2 linked regions of the Cricetulus griseus genome follow. The protein of the gene in region 1 interacts with the protein of each later gene in a biochemical or structural test. Links are inferred from orthologs where the notes say so. Each region holds a gene or a part of one and is shown on either strand. Other genes may lie near its edges. The genes, in order: Nf2 and Cd44.

Region 1 (10,792 bases):
CGACCTTAAAAATGTCCTAGGACTGGGATGTGCCTAAGGAGCAGAGCCCTTTTCTAGCATGCCCAAGATTCTATGTTTTTATTTGTTTTCATGTATTCAGTTTTAGGGCATGGCTAGTGAGAAGACAGGTTTCAGGTGCCCCAGGCTGGACTTTGAGTTCATTATTTAACCAAGGAAAACCCTGCACTCTTGGTCCTGATTGGAGGAGAGGCATACCCACCATGCTCAGTCTACCTTGCATTTAATTCCCCAGCACTGCAGAAAAATAGTCTCCAGACATTTGTGCAGGAGTAGGCAGTAGGCATGACTCCTGCCTTTGAATCATTGACTTAAAGGGACAGAACAGAATTTACATTGCTTATTCCCCTACAAACACAGGCTTTAGCTGGAATGCATTCTCTATCTAGAATGCTTTTTTCTTTTTTCTATGATGGAGCCTGCAGAGCTGAATAGTTGGTGTGTAGCATGTCATCTGTTGTCAGACAGACTGAGTATTTCTCAGTGGGAAGGTACAGGGAGATTAAGACTGGCTCCTGGAGCTGGAGAGATGGCTCAGTGGTTAGCAGCACTGACTCCTCTTCCAGAGGATCCATATGGCAGCTTACAACCTTCTGTAACTCTAGCCCCAGGGGATCCGATGGCCCCTTCTGGCTTCCTAAGACACTGCATATATAGGTGTACAGACATGTATGCAGACATAGCACCTACACACATAAAAATAAAAGTTAAAAAAAAAAAAAGGCTGGTTCTTGTTGCCATGTTGGGGAATCCAGATGTGAGGAGATAAGCCTGTACACTGTCTGAGAGCACTCTCCTTCCCAGATGTGAGGAGATAAGCCTGTACACTGTCTGAGAGCACTCTCCTTCCCAGATGCGGTCTGAGGAAACCGCTGACCTGTTGGCTGAAAAGGCGCAGATCACAGAGGAGGAGGCCAAGCTTCTGGCACAAAAGGCTGCAGAGGCTGAGCAAGAGATGCAGCGAATCAAGGCCACAGCCATTCGGACAGAGGAGGAGAAGCGCCTGATGGAGCAGAAGGTGTTGGAGGCGGAAGTGCTAGCACTGAAGATGGCTGAGGAGTCAGAGAGGAGGTGAGTGGCTGTCCTGGGCACTGGAGCCTGGTAAAGGGTTGCTTGCTTGCTTCCAACCCTACCAGAGCTGGTTACAGCATCCTTAAACTTCTCTGTTGTGGGAACAGGACTATAAGACTTCTTCCTTGACAGGCTGGTGGGATGGGAGGTTCTCTTGTCCAGGGAACCTTTCTGTCATGTCTCCTTCTACTCATGAGGTTTGCAGGAAAAACATTTAAGCATATCCATAGGCTGCTTTTAGCCAAAGAGATAAGAAGAGGCCTCTTTTTTTTTTTTTTTTTTGCATTTAAAAGAGGGAGGGGCAGTGTGCTGGAGAGATGGCTCATGGATTAAGAGCACTGGCTGCTCTCTAGAGAACCTGAGTTTGATTCCCAGGACCTACATGGTGACTTACAACCATTTGTAATTCCAGTTCCAGAGGATGCAACCCCCTCTTATGGCCTCCATGGGCAGCAGGCATGCACATGGTGCACAAACATACATGCAGGCCAAACACCCATACACATAATAAAATAATTTTTTAAAGGGGAAGTGGGGCCGGGGAGATGGCTAATCAGTAAAATACCTGCTGCACAAGCATAAGGACCTGAGTTTGTGTCCCCAGCACCCATGTAAAACCTAAGCACAGTGACATGTATCTATAGCCTCAGCACAGGAGTTAGGAGAGAAAGCAAAGACAGGCTGATCCAGCCAGTGTAGTTGAATTAATGAGCTATTCCTTTATTGAGAAGCCCTCCACTAAAGTGGAGAGCAATAGAGGGTTATACCCCACATTGACCTCTGCACCTGCACACACACACACACACACACACACACACACACACACACACACACACACACACACACACACAAATCATCTTGGTTCTTTTCCCTTTTGATGCAGATCAATGGCAATTATTTACTTCAAAAGGGAAGTAAGTACCCATTTCCCTGCAGTTTTTCAGGTAGTTAGGGGAGCAGAGCAGCTGTGTTTTTTTGTGACCAGGTTGCCCCACCTTGTGTCTAGGTTGAAGGATAGAGCTGTTGTTTGTACTCTTTAGACTATTCTAGACTTTGAGTTGTTCTAGTCCTGTAGCCTTTAGATAAACACTGGCACATCCTCACAGCATCTGGCTCTATGACTTAGAGGACTTGAATATGGCTCTTAGCTACTTAGGTATATTCACTATAGTTTTTCTCACCATTTTTTTTTCAAATGTGCATTTGTGTTTTGCCTGCATGTATATCTATGTGTGTGAGGATATCAAATCTTGGAGTTAGAGTTATGAGCTGCCATGTGGGTGCTGGGAATTGAACCTTGGTCCTCTGGAAGAACAATCAGTGTTCTTAACCACTGAGCCATCTCTCCAGCCCCTCACCACTTTTTGCATGTCATTCTGAGTATATGGTTCCTTGATGCTTGCTCACCCCAGGCTCCTTTCTGTGTGTGCATCATGTCTCTTGGGTTGGACCACTAGCTATACAAGCCTTCCATGGCTATACCAACTCATAGAGCAGAGTGCTGCACCAAGACACAGATGCCTTCAGTGATGGGACTTCTTCCTGCCCAAGCAAAGTGGATAATTGGCCTCCAAGTGTTTTACTGGAGATGTGAAAAACAGTTCTTTCACATTCTGCCCTTTGTGGCCCAGTGGGAGGCTTATGATGATGTCCTCAGTGTAAGACTTGTGATGCCTTCCTTTGCCTAGCCCACTCTTCACCCAGAGACAAGCAGAGCGTCTCTGGGCCCTCCCCACTCTCCCTCCTCTCAGCCCGTTTTAGAGGTGGGTTGGTGGTGCTGTTGTTTGTTTCTTTGTTTTGAGACAGGATGTAATCCTGGCTGTCCTGGAACTCACTCTGTAGACTAAACTGGCCTCAAACTCAAGAGATCTGCCTGCCTCTGCTTCCTAGTGCTGGAGTTTAAGGCATAGGCTACCACACTTGTTATTTTTCTTCTTTTGAGATTGCATCTGCCTGTGTTGCCCAGGCTGTCCTCCAAATCCTGGCCTTAAGTAATTCCCCTGCCTCAGCCTCTGGGGTAGCTGCCACCACAAGCATAACCCACTTTACTGGCTTGCAGGGCTGCCTCATTTGTTGTTTCCCACCAGCTACTCCATATTCTAGTCTAGCTTTACTGTTGAGATAAACAGCACCCAGGAATACTGTTATCACTTTAGAAGTTCTGGCTTCCTGTAAATGTCCCTGTCACATTGTCCTTATTTGTCTTGTTAGGTACCATGTACAGTGTTAATTCAGGTCCTTGCTCTGGAGGTAAGGTAAATGTGTACTCACTCTCTCTGTCCCCCATCTGTGGAACTGACAAATCTTTCTTTCTTTGCAGGGCCAAAGAGGCTGATCAGCTAAAGCAAGACCTTCAGGAAGCCCGAGAAGCAGAGCGAAGAGCCAAGCAGAAACTCTTGGAAATTGCCACCAAGCCCACATATCCAGTGAGTCTGGGCTCAGTCTAGCAGCCTTTAGCTGCTTTCGTCTAGCAACTTCCCTAAGCCCTCCCTGCACTGCACTTCACCTCACAGTGTCTTCAGGGTGACAAAACAAAGCAAAGCCTGGATAGGACCTCCTAATCTGCCATTTAGCCTTGGACTGACTAGTCAGCTACCACTCTTGTTGCTTAGATAACAGACCATAGGGCTGTTTCCAGCTCTGGAATATTTATTACTACTATAGTCTCTACCCTCAAGAGAATTTGCTGTCTAGCTCCCTAATGCCAAGCTAAATGTAATCTTCAGCTGTCAGTATATACTGTGTACCATAATATAGTTCTGTGGAGGGACTGACTCTACACCTCAGAGTGCAACAATGCTGTGCCAGAACCAGCTGCCAACCTCAGTTGGGGACTGGGAGACTGACTTGTACTAAATGGGGGTCACGAGATAAATAGATGTCACTTTCCTTCCTTTCCTCTGCACATTCCACTCTGTAAAGGTTTTGCTCACTTGTTCTCTATCCATATAATACTATCAGTTGCCAGTCTCTATCCTGAAGATATGCACAGGTGCCAGATCACAGCCCAGCTCTGGAGACAGGAAAGGCTTGGTATGGTTGCATTTTGCAGAGGAGCTGGATTCCCTGCTGAGTTGGAAAGAGAGGATGGGATATTCTAGGTAAGAACACAATGTATTTGCAGCACAAACACATAGCCCATTCACACATATGCTACACACACACTGCATAGTTGTGTATATGACAAACACAGCACATTTGTGCACATGGCACATTCACATATTACACAGATGCATTCAGGACACGGAGACATAAGTGCCCAGGGTTTGAGTTGAGGAAATGCAAGCAGTTTGCTATTGCCATGTGTCCTTGTTATCTATTCCTGGGTAACAGATAATCCCCAAACAACCATTTATTTGTGTCTTGGGCATGTTGTGTTAATCAGGCTCATGTCTTCTCTCAAGATCTCTCGGATGGTCACATTCAGGTGACAGCTGGAACTGTGATAGTCTGAGGGCTCAGCTGGGCTACGTACCTGAAATACATGTGTTTAAAACATCTATTGGAGCAAACTTTATAAATTTATAAAACTTTGCTCTTTCCTTTGGCAATGTGTCCTTAATCACATCATGGCCTATGGGTGGATTGTAATTCGGCTAGCCAGTCCCTATAGATGGATATTTAGTATGTTTTCTATAGCAATTTTGAATACAGCTGCACTGAACATCCCTGAACACAAATCTTTGCACACATATGTGGCATTATTGGTAGATTCAGTTCCTGTAAGTAGAACCGTGAGGTCGGATGTTCAATTGTGATACTTACCGAAGAGGTTATGCTAGCTTCTGCTGTCACCAGAAGGGTAACAGCTAGTGTTCTTCCTTCCTGGGATTTTTTTTTAAGTATAAGATAAATAAATATTCCTAAATTATAACTATCCATCCTGATGAATTTTCATAGACCAGACTCTCATATACCCAGCATTCAGCTCTGAAAGCAGAGTGGGGCCCAGATGTCCCTGCTCAGAGCCATGTTTGACGCTCTCCACAGACCCTGTCTCCACAGACGCTCTCCAATGACCCTCATTGCCATAAATGAAAGTTCAGAGGTTCTATTCCTTCCACACACTGTTCCAGACTTGGTTAAAAAAAAAAAGTCCAAGGATGAATAAAGACAGTGTACCCTCAGGAAGTTTGTAGACAGAGGAAAAGATAGCCATAAGGGAACTTCGCAGTGTGGGGTTGAGGGAAAGACCTGTTGCAGCTCTGTGCACACTATGCTAAAGAACTGCAAAGGGAAAGAGCAGCCATTTTGCCAAGAGGGCTATGGCAAGAGACTGAAGGAGTTGAGAACCTTGAAGAAGGAATGGAGAACTTGCTAGACATGACATACACCTGTAATCCTAGTGCTCAGGAGGCTGAGACAGAGGCTCACGAGCTTAAGACCAGCTTGGGCTATGTGGTGAGACCCTATCTCAAAAATGACAAGAGGGCTGCGGATATAGCTTAGTGGTAGTGTTTACCTAACATGCACACCCCTAGTACCATGAAAATGGTACTAGGAAAATGACAAGGAAAGAGGAAGAGAGGAAAGCAGCCAGGAGGGAAAGAAGGAAGGATACATGCAGAAGTACACAAATGCAAAATTGGCACGGCCCAAGGGATAATAAGCAGTGCTGTTTATGATTTAACAGGACAAATAATGGGGAACATATGAGAGGTAGCTAGGGGCTATATGCTAGGTGACCTTTTGTTTTGGGATGAAAAGGTCCTGAAAACAAGTCTAGTGACTTTACTTTATTTCAAGTCCTCCTCTGACTGTGTCTTCTGAATCTAAGCCTGTAACATATGAGCAAAGCCTTTCTGGTCCAAAGCCAGTCTCCTACCAACCTCCCTGCCGGGCACTACAGATGTCCAGTGCTCCTGTTGGACCCCTGCACTCTGCCTACCACCATGCCTCTTTTCTGGTACCCTTCTTTGGCTTATTCACTGATCCCCATGGAAGCAGTACCCTAGTGACCCCCTCCAGCCTCCTAAGCCTCTGTTCCTGTCCTGGCTAGTGTTTAACTTACTGTGAGAATTTGTAGACATCTGCTTCCTGAACAAGACTTTCATGTGCTTAGAGCCAGGGAGCCTGTCTTTTCTGTGTCCAGCTCATAGCCCCACGCCTGGGAGTTTCCCACATGTAAAGCTGAGTGCAAATTTGCATTTGATTCAAATGATCATGGAAATGCTGAGGTTTGAGGAGAGAAGAGTGACTTTGTCTGAATGTGGGTGCTTTGGGACCACTTCCCTGCAGTACTGAGTGCAAAGGGCGTTGTCCTGTGTAATTTAAACCTCCTAATCTGAGTTTTCTCACTGACAGCCTGTGAACCCAATCCCAGCACCACTGCCTCCTGACATACCAAGCTTCAACATCATTGGTGACAGCCTATCATTCGACTTCAAGGATACTGACATGAAGAGACTTTCCATGGAGATAGAGAAAGAAAAGTATGTACCCTCTGTGGCCTACTTGCTTGAGGCAGTTGTGAACATGAGAGAGTAGATTTGGTCTGGGAACACAAAGGTCACCACAGCAGTTAGTCAGTCATTATCCCTGCAAAGGTTTGCTCTGTTGTCACCCACTAGGAGAACAAATTTCCTAATTAGAAATTAAAGATGACCGATCAGGACAGTAGTCAGTGTCCCCAGAAGAAAAATAACATTTGATTGGTGGCCTGGAATTTATAGTGGTTCAAACCTTGACTGACAAAAAGACTGGATCATGGTAAGTCCCCGAGTCAGACTGTTGTTCACATAGTGCTTAACTAGTTTTCTTCTGGTCATGTTCTTCAGCAGTGGTTCCTATGTCTAAAACAAAGGTGAAGGAAAAGAAAACAAAAAACAAAACAGGGTTTCTAGGCTGAGCAAAGCGTGGGTCCTGCTGGCAACCAGCCAAACCACAGCTGCTTCTGTCAAGTGCCCTCCACCTCCACTTTGTGGTCAGCGGAAGTGAAGCAGAGATGGAGAGGAATCCCGTGGTAGATGAAATCTAAGTAAGATCCCCCTCAGTCCTTGAGTAAGTTGGTTAATAGTGCCACAGCTGGCAGAGAACAATCACGGAGGCCCTATGTGTTGAGCACCTGTAAGTCTGGGCATTTTAGGGTTTGTCTTATTTAACTCATACTAGTCAACAAATATCCCACTGGCATCAAAGGCAGGTTTTAGGGACTGGTGATATAGCTTAGTTGGTAGAGGGCTTGCCCAACATGTGCAAAACCCTGAGTTTAATCTCCAGCACAGTATAAGTCAGGCATGGTGCCTACACCAGTAATCTTAGTTCTCAGGAAATAGAGATATGAGGATCAGAACTGCATTATTATCTTTGGCTACTTAACAAATTCAAGTCTAGCCTGAGCTACATGAGGCCCTATTTCCAAAAAAACAGTTTTAGTGTTCTAATTATATAAAAGAGAATAGACTTAATGAGTCACCCAGCATCACATAGTTGATGAGGAGCAGGACAAGGATTGAAACCCCTTACTCACTGTGGTACTCTCAGAATAGGGCTCTGCAGTCCAGCATGAACCATCATAAACCAGGCTATCCTCCTTTGATCCCTCTACTGAGAACAGCTAAGGAGCTGTGATCCAGAGCCGCTGCTGTCAGCATCAGACTGAGTCCCTTTCTTATTGTCCAGATGTACATGTTTATGTGGTTGTGATCAGCATAAGGCCACATCCTGTCCTGTGCCTTGGTTTTTTTATAGTTTGTATTTTCTCACTGACTTAGTGTGTTTGGCTGTTATAACAAAATGCCAGAAGCTGGAAAGCCTATAAACAACAGAAATTTACTTCTCGTAGTTCTGAAGGCTTAGAAATCCAAGGTCAAGGTATTGTCAACTCAGAGTTCAATGAGAGTACTCTTCCTGTTCATAGATGGCCCTTGCTGTGTACTCGTATGTGTCAGGATCTCTTTAGGGTGTTTTTTGTTTTTTTTAAGGACACAAATCCCATCATGAGGCTGAACTAGTTACTTCCCAGGGCATCACCTCCTAATACATGAGTGAGTTGGCCACAGTCTATGAATGGGACAGCACTACATTCAGCCCATAGCACTTATTTCCTACACAGGCTGGCAGAGCCCACTGACTGGCTGCTGTAATCTGTTCAGAATGTTTCCTTATATTTGTGTTATATGGTTTTCTGTTCATGCTCTTATGGTTAAACACTTTAACCTCTTCAGGTGAAAGTGGAGACCTGTTTTTTCTCAGTGTTGGCTGAGTGAGTGTCTGCCATCTTTTCCTAAAGGTCTCAGGATAAGTGGGAGAGTAGATCTCTTGGTTGACTGCTTCAGGAGGGGCAGAAACAGAAGAGTGTTTTGGGATTCAGGAGGTTTGTTTGATGTGATTCTTCATACAGAACTGAAAGCTGTCTGTGGCAGGGTTATTTGGAGAACACTCTGAAAGTTTATACAGGGCTTTCTTCCTACACTTCATTTCTTCCTGACCAGAGGCTCTGTAATTATTATCCCAATTGCACTGATGTGGAAAAGAGATTATTGCAGTTAAGTGGGTAGCCCAAGCTCCCTTGGCTTCTGCGTGGCCAGGTTCAGGTGTGAACCCCAGGCTGCTCCTGGCTATCATACCGAACAGCTTGTAAGTTATGATGCATCCCTTCCATGCCTCAGTGTCTGCCCAGTTCTGATGCATGGTTTCCTCTTGCCACAGAGTGGAGTACATGGAGAAGAGCAAGCATCTGCAAGAGCAGCTCAATGAACTCAAGACGGAAATCGAGGCCTTGAAACTCAAAGAGAGGGAGACAGCCTTGGATATCCTACACAACGAGAACTCAGACAGGGGCGGCACCAGTAGCAAGCACAATACCATTAAAAAGGTACCCTAGTCCCTGGGTTTTGATGAACAGGATACTTATTAATGAAATATGAGGTTGGCATCTAGTTTCCTCAAGAGCCCAGTCATTAGACTCTTGTTTTTTTTCTTTTCTTTCTTTCTTTCTTTCTCTCTCTCTCTCTCTCTCTCTCTCTCTCTCTCTCTCTCTCTCTCTCTCTCTCTCTCTTTTTTAACATGTACTTAGTTGAGGGGATTTTTCAACTCCTGACAGAAAGAATTTAATCTGCCAATGACCATGAACCCATTGGCTTGATGGAAGTGGAGCTTGTGTTAAAAGCTCTGATGAGATGAGTCCCTGTTTGAGGATGGGTTTTGATCTATCACTGAGCACTAAAGTGATTCTGTCTTTAAAGCCAGTGGAACTTATGCCCAAGGAACTGCCTTAATTAATGAGAGAGCAGAATGAATTAAAGGCTGTTGAATGGAGTCCCCTCTCGTCTTTGTGTAAGACCATGTTATGAATGTCCAACATTTTCATACTTAAAAGGCAGAATATAGGAGAGCTGTAATGTTTAAGAAGATGAGACTTTATTTAGGAGGCTCAGAGTCTCATCTGCCTCTCCTGATATTTAGAGTGCTCATCACTTTAGAAGTTACTCAGTCCTCGTTATCAGGCTGAGAATGTACATATCTCTTATTTGGGCAAAGCAGGAAGTTTTTTCTGGAAAGTTAATGCTTTTAGCTGATTGTCCCTGTAAAACAGGGGTTATAAAGTGATTGGTGTGGTGACATACTCTTGTAACGCTAGCATTTAGGAGTGAATGGCAGGTGGATTGCAAGTTCAAGGCCATTCTGGGCTACAGAATAAGACCCTTTTCTCCTTTGAGTTTGAATGATAACTAATGTAGTTAAGTTTTACTCTTTATTTCAGTCAGCAGTCTCCAGTTTAAGGACTGTCTCTGTTTTCAGTGATTAAGTTGTCACTGGAAATCCAGAGAAACTCATATCTCCCTACATTTCACTGGTGTGTGGGTGTATACACACATACATACATACACATACACACATACACACACACACACACACACACACGGAGTCGGGAGCTCTACTTCTTAACATGTTACAGTGGACACCAAGTAGAGAACTACTCCCAATACCATAACCTACCAGGGGAGGCGTTGCCACACACCACACACTATTTCCCCCAGCGCCTGTTGTTTTCTGGGTTTCTCCTTTCAAACAAAATTATTAAACATCAAAGGTAGTTAAAACCAGGCATGGTAGCCCACAGAACTCAGGAGGAGGAGGCAGGAAGATTGAAGGTCATTTTTGGCTACATAGAAAATTCATGTTAAGCCTGAGCTATATAAGACCCTGCCTATTTCATAAAGGGAGGCCTCACCAGGCAGTGGTGGCACACACATTTAATCCCAGCACTTGGGAGGCAGAGGCAGTTGGATCTCTGTGAGTTCGAGGCCAGCCCGGTCTACAGAGCAAGTTCTAGGACAGCTAGGGCTACACAGAGAAACCCTGTCTCAAAAAACAAAAACAAAAAAATATATGGAGGCCTCTATCCTTAAGCCAAAACAGCCCTGAGGGAGCAACTTCAGACCCCTCATCCTGCCTCCTTGTCATCTGGATACCCTGAGCAGTAGCCTGTGCTGCTGCTCTGTGGTAACCTGGGCTCTCAGCCACAAAAGCCTGGAGTGCTGAAAACCAGAGGCCTGTGTTCAAGCCATGAAAGTATATGAAGTCACTTGTCTTGATTCTGAACATTTTGCAAATGGCACGTATGGCATTTTGATTTCACAGGGTATGTCTTTGTTTTTTTTCGTTTTATTTTGCTGGTTTAGCCTCAAGCCCAAGGCAGAAGACCTATCTGCATTTGAGTCCTCAAAGTAGGTTATTCCCAGGTATTCTGTCTGTGGTG
Region 2 (10,776 bases), on another chromosome or scaffold:
AGAGAGAGAGAGAGAGAGAGAGAGTGAGAGAGAGAGAGAGAGAGAGGAGATATTTATATTGCCAACTGTGTCTCCCTTGTTGCCCTTAACTATTTTACCCTCTCCAAATAATATATTTTTGCTTTTCTGTGGGGATTGTGAAAGGACAATAAACTAGACTGCATAAAGGAAGGGAGGGGGCTGGGACTCCAACTGCTCATCCACCTTCCTCATCATTTGCAGGATAGTTACCAATGCCAATTTCTGGGCCTCTGTGGCAATCATTTCACTTTCCCCACAATTGATTTAGGGTTGAACACTTCCAAAATTTTCAACCAGTTATCAGTTAACCACCATTTCCTAGCTTCAAAGTATTGTTGCTCTCCTTTCTCCTCCCAAGCTTCTTTTGAGAATAACTCTTCATTTCTGTCATGTCCTTTTGTTGAAGAGAGGGTCTCATGTATCCTAGCTGGCCCAACATTCAATATGTGTCCAAGAATAGCCTTGAACTTCAGATCTTACTGACTCTAAATTCCAAAGGCCAGGGTTACAGACACACACCTGACGGGGAATGTACTGTATATGTTTATCTTATTGATTGTTAAATAAAATACTGTTTGGCCAATGAGACAGCAAGTTAGATGGAACTAGGAGTCAAAGAGGATTCTGGGAAATGTAGTAGAGAAGTGCTGATCCAGGCAGGAAGTGACATAGCAAGGAGACTCATATTTAAGCGAAGGAGAAACAGGAAGGGTCCCTTTTTTCCCGTTCGCCTCCTCCAGCGACAGGATATGAGCCACCAGCAAGGAGGGACACCAATAAGGTGTCCGATAAGATAAGTCTTATAAAATATATAGATTTATGATAATTGAGACTGAGCTAACAGATGAGGAATCCTAGTTATTGGCCAAGCAGCTTTGAACCTAATACAAGTTTCTATGTATTCATTTGGGCCTAACTCTAGCGGGTGGCTGACATAAAGCTCACACATGGCGGTGGGGCTCAGGCAGCTTTTGGCAGAAAGATTTATCGTAACACACACCACTACACCAATATGTGTAGTGCTGGGAATGGAACTCAGGCCCTTGTGTATACCAAGCAAGTACTCTCTCAACTGATCTGCAGCCCCAGATGTGGTTAAGAAGCTGTCATGATAGTTGGAATTAAGGTATGTTTACTACTCTCATAAACCAAGAGGCCAAAGGCAGCCCTAGGCATTTTAGGAGGTCACACTTTACAGCATCCAATCATCCATTGCTTAGATGATTCTGAAGAATGTATCTCCTGGGGGCAGTCAAACTTTTCCTCAACATTAAATTCAAGTGATGGAAGTTTGTGTATTTGTTTGTTATTGTTGTTTCTTTCTTTAAGTGGTACATCACTGTAATCCCAACACTTGGGATGTAGGAGCAGAGGGATCAAGAGTTCTAGGGCTGTGGAAATGACTCAGGGGTTAATATACTTATAGCACATCTGTGAAGACTGGAGATCAGATCCCTAGAACCCATGTAAAACATTGGTGGGCATAGTGGGTCACCTGAAACCCAGAGCAAGGTGGCTAGCAAGACTAGCCATACTGGAGAGCTTTGGGTTTAATTTAAAGACTCTGCCTCAATGAATAAAGTGGAAGAGTCAGCAGGGATGACCTTGATATCCACCTCAGGCTTCCACATACATGTCTGCTCCAGCATGTTTTTCTATACACATGCAAACAAAACAAAAAAGGAACATGAGTCCAGATGCCTCAGAAACCTATGAGTTCTTCCACATTACTCAGACATCCAGAGAGTCACTCTCTGCCCCTCCCCACTTCCCAGGCCCCTCACATCAGAGACCATGGGTTCCATTTCTTATGGCTTTTTAATGTTTTCCAATACACACTTTCAATTGGGCGATATATACATCACGCTTTCCTCATTATTATTGGTCAATCAATAAATATACAAAAACCAGAGAAAGGGAGGGTGGTCTCTGAAAAAAAATCAAAGGAACGATAACAAAAGTCATTGTACATACATAACAATTGGCTGCACTTGAAAAGTCAACACAGGAGATTTTCACAAAGTGGTCAATTCTTGTTCCTCGGAACCTTTTAATTTCCCGAAGAATGTGGCTCTTTCTTCTACTTTGTTTCAACAGTCTTGAATGCATGTTGGCTATAAAGCCAGTTCTTGGTGTTATGGATGACAATGTAAAGCTTTTTTCTTAAAGAAAGCCTTCAGGACACACGAGAAATTTACAATTGCTGGTAAAAATAACATCTGAAGTGCTCATGTTACTTTACAAAAATCACTAAATGTCACCCCCTTATTTTTATTAACAAACTCCCAGTTCAATGACTTATCCTCTATCACCTGGCAAGTCATTGGTAGGAGTAACACAAAGTCAGATTATGCTACCAGAATCATAATCATCATGGCAAGTATTATCCTACCCCAATCCAACTGGTAGGCATATCTGGAATGGGTAGAGAATCGTCTCTGGCCCTGAGACTTACATGCCTCTCCTAGTGCCTCTAAAGGGTATCTAAGTATCAAGGAGAGCATGGAAGAGTCTTTTGTACCCTTTATACACAATTCCAGAGTGGTTTGCTGCATACAGGTTAAAGAGCCCAGGTGATCCTGTTGTGGGCATGTCAGGCCAGGACAGCTGTAAGGACAAGGAACATTCTAACACCAGTTGAGAAGAATAAACAGTCACCTAGTGTGTATTTCAACTGGAAAAGAAGAAAAAAACTAAGTGTCTAAATATGAAACTGACTAATAAACATTCACAGAGGAAGAAAAAGAAAATCTGTGGGAGCCATGGCATTGGAGAGAGGTGAACAGGGAAGGAGGGAAAGTAGGTAGGGGAAGCTGAGGCTAGAAATAGTTTTGGAAAGTCTGTGCATTTCCTTAAATAAAGCCTGAGTCCACTCTTGATATAAACTCAAACCCAATTTAGATGGTAAACTTTTCTCTTGCATTTTTTTATTTGAAAAAATATTAAACATATAAATTTAGTCAACAGTAACACCATGGGAGACTTAGAAAGGAAGTCTCATCTTACAGAAAGCCTTACTTTATAGATTTAATTTCTTCTACAAGTAACCAGGGAAGATCCAGGAGCAATGGGACATTCCGGCAGATGGATAAATGCCACCAAACACTTACCCAAAATGTGGGAAAAAAAAATGAGGTTAGAGGGTAACACCATTCTCCCTTGGCTAAACCATAAGTCTGCTTATCCGTTGATAAGATTCCAGTAGTGGGCAGCCCTGAGGCTTTCTGGGGGATTCCCAGGCACCTCATTCTGAGGACCAACTGGTTTGTGAAAATGTCAACAAGCACATCCATGGAAATAGTGGGATGGGTTGTACACCGCACCCTCCTTATGCCAATCTACTGCTTGCTGTCTGCACTTTAATTTCTGTTGGCTGCTCTTTCATTGTAAGGTGTCACAAGTATGCACCATATTGTTTTGTGAAGTCACTAGTAGGATCAGTTTCTACGAAATAAGACTCTAAAAACTGAAGGACATAGAAACTTAATGTGCCCTTTAAGGGAGAGAAAAGGGTGGCCCAAACACAAAGGTGATTAAAGCTTTCCTACACACAATTCAGATTCCAGAATAGGAGAGAAACCCTTTTGATAGCCCTAGATACAAAACAGTGTTTCTTTGTTTGATCTTTTAGGAAATTCAGCCTGGTGAACCTGAGTTGGGCATAGATGCTCTGGCACAGGTTTAGGAGGACCATTCTAAAGTCATCCTGATATGCTATGAAGACTCAAACCTTGCTGGTTTAGAAACTGAAGGATCACAGCACAACAGGTCAATATGGAAGATGGACAGGTGTTTATTATGAATCAACTTATACCCTGTTATGCTTCTGACAAAAATAAACTAAAAAAAAAAGTCATACTGAACAAAGGACCTCCAGGGTTTGATTTTTCAAAAACAAAGATAAATAGCTTACTACAGATAAATAGCTTCACCCTTTGGGGTTCTTTCAGAAGCATCTGAAAATTTTCCAGCAGAGAGGGGAGTCTATAAAAAAAAAAGGTATGTAACCAGTACACCTGATCTCCCACCCCACTGGAAAGCAATGCCCGAGATTGGGCTGCTGGAGAGGCAATATGGACCCGTTCAAATTTCTTCCCAGAGACCAATCCCTCTAAGCCCTGGGGTAAGTCCCTGGCTGGTGGCTGTTACCTGGGACTTAGGTTAGGGAAAAGATTCAATAGGGACCAGGAATTTGCATTTGATAGAAGCCATCCATAGCATCCCTTGGGAATGCAAGACCTCTAGGAAGGAGCTGGAAGAGTCAAATTCTTAATGGAGTATTCTTTGGGCCCTCATTTCAGAAAGCAATGCTGTTTTCATAAATTGGAACAGACTTTTAACAAAATGCAAAAGGAATAGAAAATTTTGTGCAGAAACTACCCCCAATAAAAATAATCAGTAGCACATTGCATCTGTTAAGGGTCCCAGCTCCCAGTATTGACATGTTTGCGATTTTGGTGTCTTTCCAAGTTACTGGTATAGGCACTACACCCCAATCTTCATGTCTACATTCTGCAGATTCCGGGTCTCATCCGCTGTCATAAACTGGTCTGGAGTCTCTGAGGGTTCCTTGTTCACCAAATGCACCATTTCCTGAGACTTGCTGGCCTCCCCGTTGAGCTCACTTGGCTTCCTGTCCTCCACCTTTCCATTGCCACTGTTGATCACCAGCTTTTTCTTCTGCCCACACCTGATGAGTTTTAAAAACATCATATGAGAAAAGGTACACAATCAATCAATCAATCAATCAATCAATCAATCAATCAATCAATCCATCAACCAACTATCATCATCATGACTGAAACCACAGGGGATATCAACATGATCATCAGTACAAGTTAGCATGGTCTTCCCATGTGCTAAGCACTGGGCATGGTGCCCTTTCTACTTGGTCCTCCTAACTCATAACACCAGCACTTAATTGTTTGTTTGTTTGTGACAGGATAGCTCTGCCTGTCCTGAAACTCACTCTGTAGACCAGGCTGGTCTCCACCTCAGAGATCTGCCTGCTTCTGCATCCCAAGTGCTGGAATTAAAGGTATGCACCACCACTGCCTACTGACACCAGCACTTCTTAAAGTGAGGTCCCTAGTCCAGCAGCAAAAGCACCTGGGGACTTCTCAGACATGGACATTATCCACTCTACTGCTTACTGAAGAAGAAATCAGAAGGCGGTGGGGCCCAGGATCTGAGGTTTAACAGACTATAATTGCAGCTACTCTGGAGGCTGAGACAGGAAGATCACAAGTTCAAGGCCTTCTTGGACTACAAAATGAGTTCAAGACCAATCTGGATAGTGAATGAAACCCAGTCTTCAAATAAAAAGGCAAAAGAAGTCTGATATGTATAGCTTAGTGGTAGAGTACTTGCCTAGCATGCATGATACTCTAGGTTCAGTCTGTGGTACTTGGAACAAACAATAAACCACCACACTGTGGTGACTTCTGCTGCAGTCAACTTTGAGAATCAGGTACCCAAAGCTATTATTACCCCCAGCCCTTTACAGCTGAAGAAATTGTTAGGGATCTGAAAATCCAAGTCTTTCTAAGTTAGTTAACAAGCAATGAAAGAGTCAGGATGCAAACCCTGATCCTTCTGACTCTGGAGTCCTGGTTCTCCATCCCCCATACCATGCAGTGCAAATGTTTGCCTGTGAAGCATTCAAGTTCCACAGCCTCAGATAAACGGTGACGACTGTGATCATAAATCATTCTGATCTGTGTATCCAAGAAAGTTCCGCTACTTCCTCCTTCAGCCCTTGTCAGTATTATTACAACATGGACAGAATATAAGAAACCAACACTGATTCAGAAGGACAAGGCCATACTGATTTTTGTTTCTCTAAGGTTGGTTAACTTTCACATATGCTGCTATAGGATGCTTAAAACCAATGTAAGAAAGACCATTTGTTGTCACTTTGAGATTTCTTAGTAATGTTACTCAAGATTCTCAGACAGGAGAAGGGTTTCTGTGGAAAGCATGACTCTGACCTTGCCCTTGTGATTCTCATAGCCCTGCCTGGTCCCACACAATCTGACTCAGAGCTTCCTCCTTGTTGTAACCTGCTCACTGCTGTGCATATAGCAGTTATATTAGGCTAATGGATGCAAAGTCTTAGAGCTTCACAACTATGACGAGGGGAAATAGATGAGCACTTATTAAATGCATGCTCAATTCCAGACACAGTACAAGTAGTTTGTTATAATCCTTATTAAAGCAGCTTTCACTCCCACTCTTGCAGCAGTGGGAACTGAGGACCAGAGCACTTTAAGGGCTGGTTTGAGATTGCAGAAGAAGTAAGAACGACAGAGTCCATATTCAGATGTTGAGCTTCGGACTGAAAAGGCTGCATTCACCCTGGCCCTGTCAGTGCTGAAGATTTGAAAACAATGAAGTTGGAACAGTTCTCTTTGCTGCTGGATATTTCCAGGTCTAGAGTCAAAGCGTCTATTATTTGTGATCATGGGCTCTTCCCTGCAAGACTGCCAAGGTCATAAACTTTAATCTCCTGTTTGGGAAAGTCAAAACCATACTGCCTCAACAGGAAGCAGATTCTGTATCTTCCAGCACAGGTATGGGGAAGGGTGGAAGGAAAGATGTTCCAACTGTAAAATAAATGGATGAGGGGTGGGGATGTAGGTGGGGTCCATAGAGACAGCAGGATGCATGATGAAGGACTTTAGTTGGCTTGGTATTGAGATCTTAAAGCTGTGTGACCTGAAGCATCTCACTTGACTTCTCTGAGCCTCAGTTGATAATATGTACTTGTGAAATCAGGCTGTTGGACTGTCAGCCTCACAGGATTGGGGCAAGTACTTCACACAGAGGGAACTCCATAGTCTGCCTACTACTGCTATTTACTGTTTTATGAACAATGTGGGTTGAAATAAGGCCTGGGATAATCAGAGGAGAACCTGGAATATAGTAAGCATTCAGAAGTGCTGGCTGCAGTCGTTAATGGGATGAAAGCCACGTGATGTGAACTCTAGTGGTTTCTTCAGCTGCTTCCACTGTAACCACCCGACAGGGATGACAACATCCTAGAGAGACCTTCGTGCCCCTCCTTTGGGCCATCAGACAGTTAAAACAAGGGACCCTAAGAAATGGGAATTTCTTCCAAAAAGAATCTCATACTTGGGGGAAGAAAAAGGCTGAATCCTGGGGCCAGCCAGAGGGGAACTTGTCTTTGGGATAGAGAGCTCACATAGTTCCCACAAATTGTAACAACTTCCGTGCAGGACAATCTGGAGCTCTGACAATGCTGGGTCAATGATGGGTGGCATCATGCCTTCACTATAATCGCTTACATGTTCATACCTCTTGCCTTCTATTTAAACCTTAAACTCATGTTTGGACTCTGAAGATGGACTGGGGGAAGAGTTGTCATGGGATAGCTTTATTTGTTCCTCTTCCCAATGTGGCCACAACTGACTACCTCTCCTTTCTCTGCTTTTCACAGTGAATTGTGAAACTGTAACTAGCCTATTGGGAATGGGTGGGCAAGTCAGGGGCTAGGGTTCGGGCTCTGACCCTGACAACCCCAGCCCACCATTGGCCTTCCTCTAAGCACTGGTAGGATAACTCAAAGGCTGGAGGAGAACATTGCTGTCTTATTTCAAATTCTCAGGTTGCATAGCCTGCGTTCTTAGAGGACAATTGCCTGACTTAACTAAGTCTCACTTGCTTATTGTTTATCAACCAGAGAGTTGAAGGGTAGAATAAGAAACAAAGGAAAATGCACTCTAAGTATTGAAATATGCCTGTGCATTCGGACAGGACCAGATTGTTACTCCAAATCAGCAGTTCTCAGTCTTCCTAATGCTGCGACCTTTTAATACAGTTCCTCATGTTGTGGTGACTCCCCAACCATAGACTTATTTTTGTTGCTACTTCATAACTGTAATTTTGCTACTGCCGAAGTACAGAGGTCCAGAGCCAGTGCTCATGACTGCTGAGCCACCTCTCTGAGCCCCTCCCCACCAGAACCATTAAGAAGCTGTGATTCTCATGGCCCCTGTGTGTTTGTATGTGTGGTTGATGCACTGAGCACCAAGGTGTCCTCAATAGTGACTGGATGGAATTAGTAGTGTGTGTGTGTGTGTGTGTGTGTGTGTGTGTGTGTGTGTGTGTGCATACATAGGTTTGTGGGCTCCTGGGTGCACATGAGTGTGGAGACCAAAGGTCAATGTGTCTTCCTGAGTCACTCTCCCCCTTATTTATTTATTTATTTATTTATTTATTTATTTATTTATTTTGAGGCAGGATCTCTCACTGAATCTGGAGCTCATCAATTTGGCTAGGCTGACTGTCCAGTAAGCTCCAGGGAGAGACTTTTGGATCTGCCTCCCCAGTGCTGGGATTGTTAGTTCACACTACCATGTCTAGCTTTTTATGTAGGTTCTGGGGACATGAAACTCAGGGCCTCATTTGTGCTCAGCAATCCACTACTAACTGAACCACATTTCCAGCTCTTAGTAGGTATGAGGCCCTGGCATATTTAAGCCTCAAAACTTTTAAAGAAGAAACACTGTCTTCATTTTCTCTCATTCCTCATCAGGGCTAACAGCCATAGAAGCCTGCAAAAGATGTTATTGGATAAATGAATCCCCTCTGGAGGCCTCATTTTCCACCAAAATTTTTTGGATGAAAATAGGGTTCCCTATCTTTCTTAAATGCAGTGTTCAAAGCAGAAAGGCTCTTGCCTCCTAACAGGATTAGAGATGGGCTATTAGCTTTAGGAAGACAACACACATTAAGGGGCCTGTGTGGCCGTTAACCACCCTTCAGCAGCGTGGCAAATCTGTTTTCAATTATCAAATCAGGACACAGTAATTTATGGTGTCCATGAAGCTGCTTTTCTGGTGAGAGGCTAGTTCAGCCAGCTTCTGCCTGTCTCTGTTTTTCTGTTGCTAGGGTGATGGCTGGCCTGGGGACAAGAAGAGGAGAGGCCATGAGGCCCTTTCTCTGCCACTGAGGAGACAGAGAACCATGTGGGATGAGATGCCACAATGTGACAATGTGCAGACTCCAACTGCTCTCAGGGACAGTTGAGATGTTTGGGGAGGGCCCCACACATCAACAGCATTGGGGACATCTCTATGGTGACATCTGCAAAACTTATGGACTGTATATGTGATACCTCCTAGGGTCTGGAATCAAAGGCTGATTCCAAACAAAAGGAAATTCATATTTAATTGAGCAAAAATAATCCAAGAGGAAGAATAAAAACTCTTTGAAGGGAATCCCCAACTTACACATCTAAGTTGAACTAAAAATAAGCCTGTTTCTATCCAGTCATAGGAGCCCAAAGGAGATCTCTTAGATTTCCCCTCAGTTTTGGTATGTGGTCAGTGCTCATGACTAATGTTTTCATTATGCTCTCAAAGTATAGGTAGCAATGCTGTGACTTGGTTGAACATTTTCATTAACCCTAAATAAAATAAAACAGTATTACTCTGAAGATGATAAGAAAGCCTACAGAGACTATGCTGGGCGCTGGAAAGAGTTGCTTATTGTTTCTGAACAACAATAAAGGGAGCCATTATGGGTTTAAAGAGAAATCTGGCACTAGGGAAATGACCAGAGAGCTACAAGGATGACACAAGCTAACAATCTAAGCAATAGTGGAAAGGCTACCATAAATGTTCTCCCCCGATAATGAGATTGATGACTACCTTATATGCCATCCTAGAGCCTTCATCCAATAGCTGATGGAAGCAGAAGCAGACACCCACAGCTAAACACTGAACTGAACTCCTGGAATCCAGTTGCAGAGAGGAAGGAGTGATGAGCAAAGGGGTCAGGACCAGGCTGGTGAATCCCACAGAAACAGCTGACCTGAACAAGGGGGAGCTCATGGACCCCAAACTAATAGCTGGGAAACTATCACAAGACTGATCAAGGTCCCCTGAATATGGGTGTCAGGGAGGAGGCCTTGGCAATCTATGGGGCCTCTGGTAGTAGATCAGTATTTATCCCTAGCATACAAATGGACTTCTGGAGCCCATTCCACATAGAGGAATACTCCCTCAGCCTAGACACATGGGGGAGGGCCTAGGTCTTGCTTCAAAGGATGACAGACTCTGAAGATCCCCCATGGAAGGCCACACCCTCCCTGGGGAGCAGAAAGGAGATGGGATAGGGAGTTAGTGGGGGGCAGAGAAGAGAGAGGGAACTGGGATTGACATATAAAACAATCTTGTTTCTAACTTAAATAAAAAATAGAAGAAAAAACCAACAACAATGAAGTGTATAATTCTTCCCAGACATCTCAGAATCTGAGGCATTGGCGGGGGGGGGGGGGGGGCTGTAGGGTGATATAGAGACACAGCAAAGTCAACCCAGTTTAGCCGGAAGACTCTAACCTTCCATGAGGCAACCACAATGGCTGTTTACAAAAAGCTTAATGTCTGTAGCAGACACTTTGGGAAAAAAAATGAATCTTTAAAGTGTCTGTGAAGATTGCAGATTTAGATGTTTTTTGGAGTACCCTGGATTAAGTTCACATCTCCTACTGCTAGAGTTACTATGGTCCTGCATTTCACCTTTTATTTAAGATATATATATATATATATTATATATATATAATATATATATTGAATACTTTTGAAATACTTTTGAAATATTATAATAACTTTTGAAATACCGAGCCTTTGTTAAGGTGGAGGGGAGGGGATTCATGGATGTGAGCAGCCTGTTTGCCCGTTCTGTGGTGCTGAACTTATTTTCTTGCCTAGGAAAGTTAATCATTGTTTC

What was found.
Region 2: the proteins of Nf2 (region 1) and Cd44 form a complex in vitro, tested with the Homo sapiens proteins (2 studies listed by BioGRID, with this or other methods). The link is inferred for Cricetulus griseus from reciprocal best matches to the Homo sapiens genes NF2 and CD44.

What each region holds. Positions count from the first base shown.
Region 1 is NW_023276807.1:100,115,777-100,126,568, forward strand, and holds part of Nf2 (merlin), read left to right. Parts: intron 1-871; coding exon 872-1,089; intron 1,090-3,409; coding exon 3,410-3,515; intron 3,516-6,393; coding exon 6,394-6,521; intron 6,522-8,739; coding exon 8,740-8,905; intron 8,906-9,523; coding exon 9,524-9,528; intron 9,529-10,715; coding exon of another isoform or gene 10,716-10,722; coding exon 10,723-10,792. UniProt on the Homo sapiens protein: Probable regulator of the Hippo/SWH (Sav/Wts/Hpo) signaling pathway, a signaling pathway that plays a pivotal role in tumor suppression by restricting proliferation and promoting apoptosis.
Region 2 is NC_048599.1:74,840,671-74,851,446, reverse strand, and holds the end of Cd44 (CD44 antigen), read right to left. Parts: intron 4,712-10,776; coding exon 4,507-4,711; 3' UTR 4,283-4,506; downstream 1-4,282. UniProt on the Homo sapiens protein: Cell-surface receptor that plays a role in cell-cell interactions, cell adhesion and migration, helping them to sense and respond to changes in the tissue microenvironment.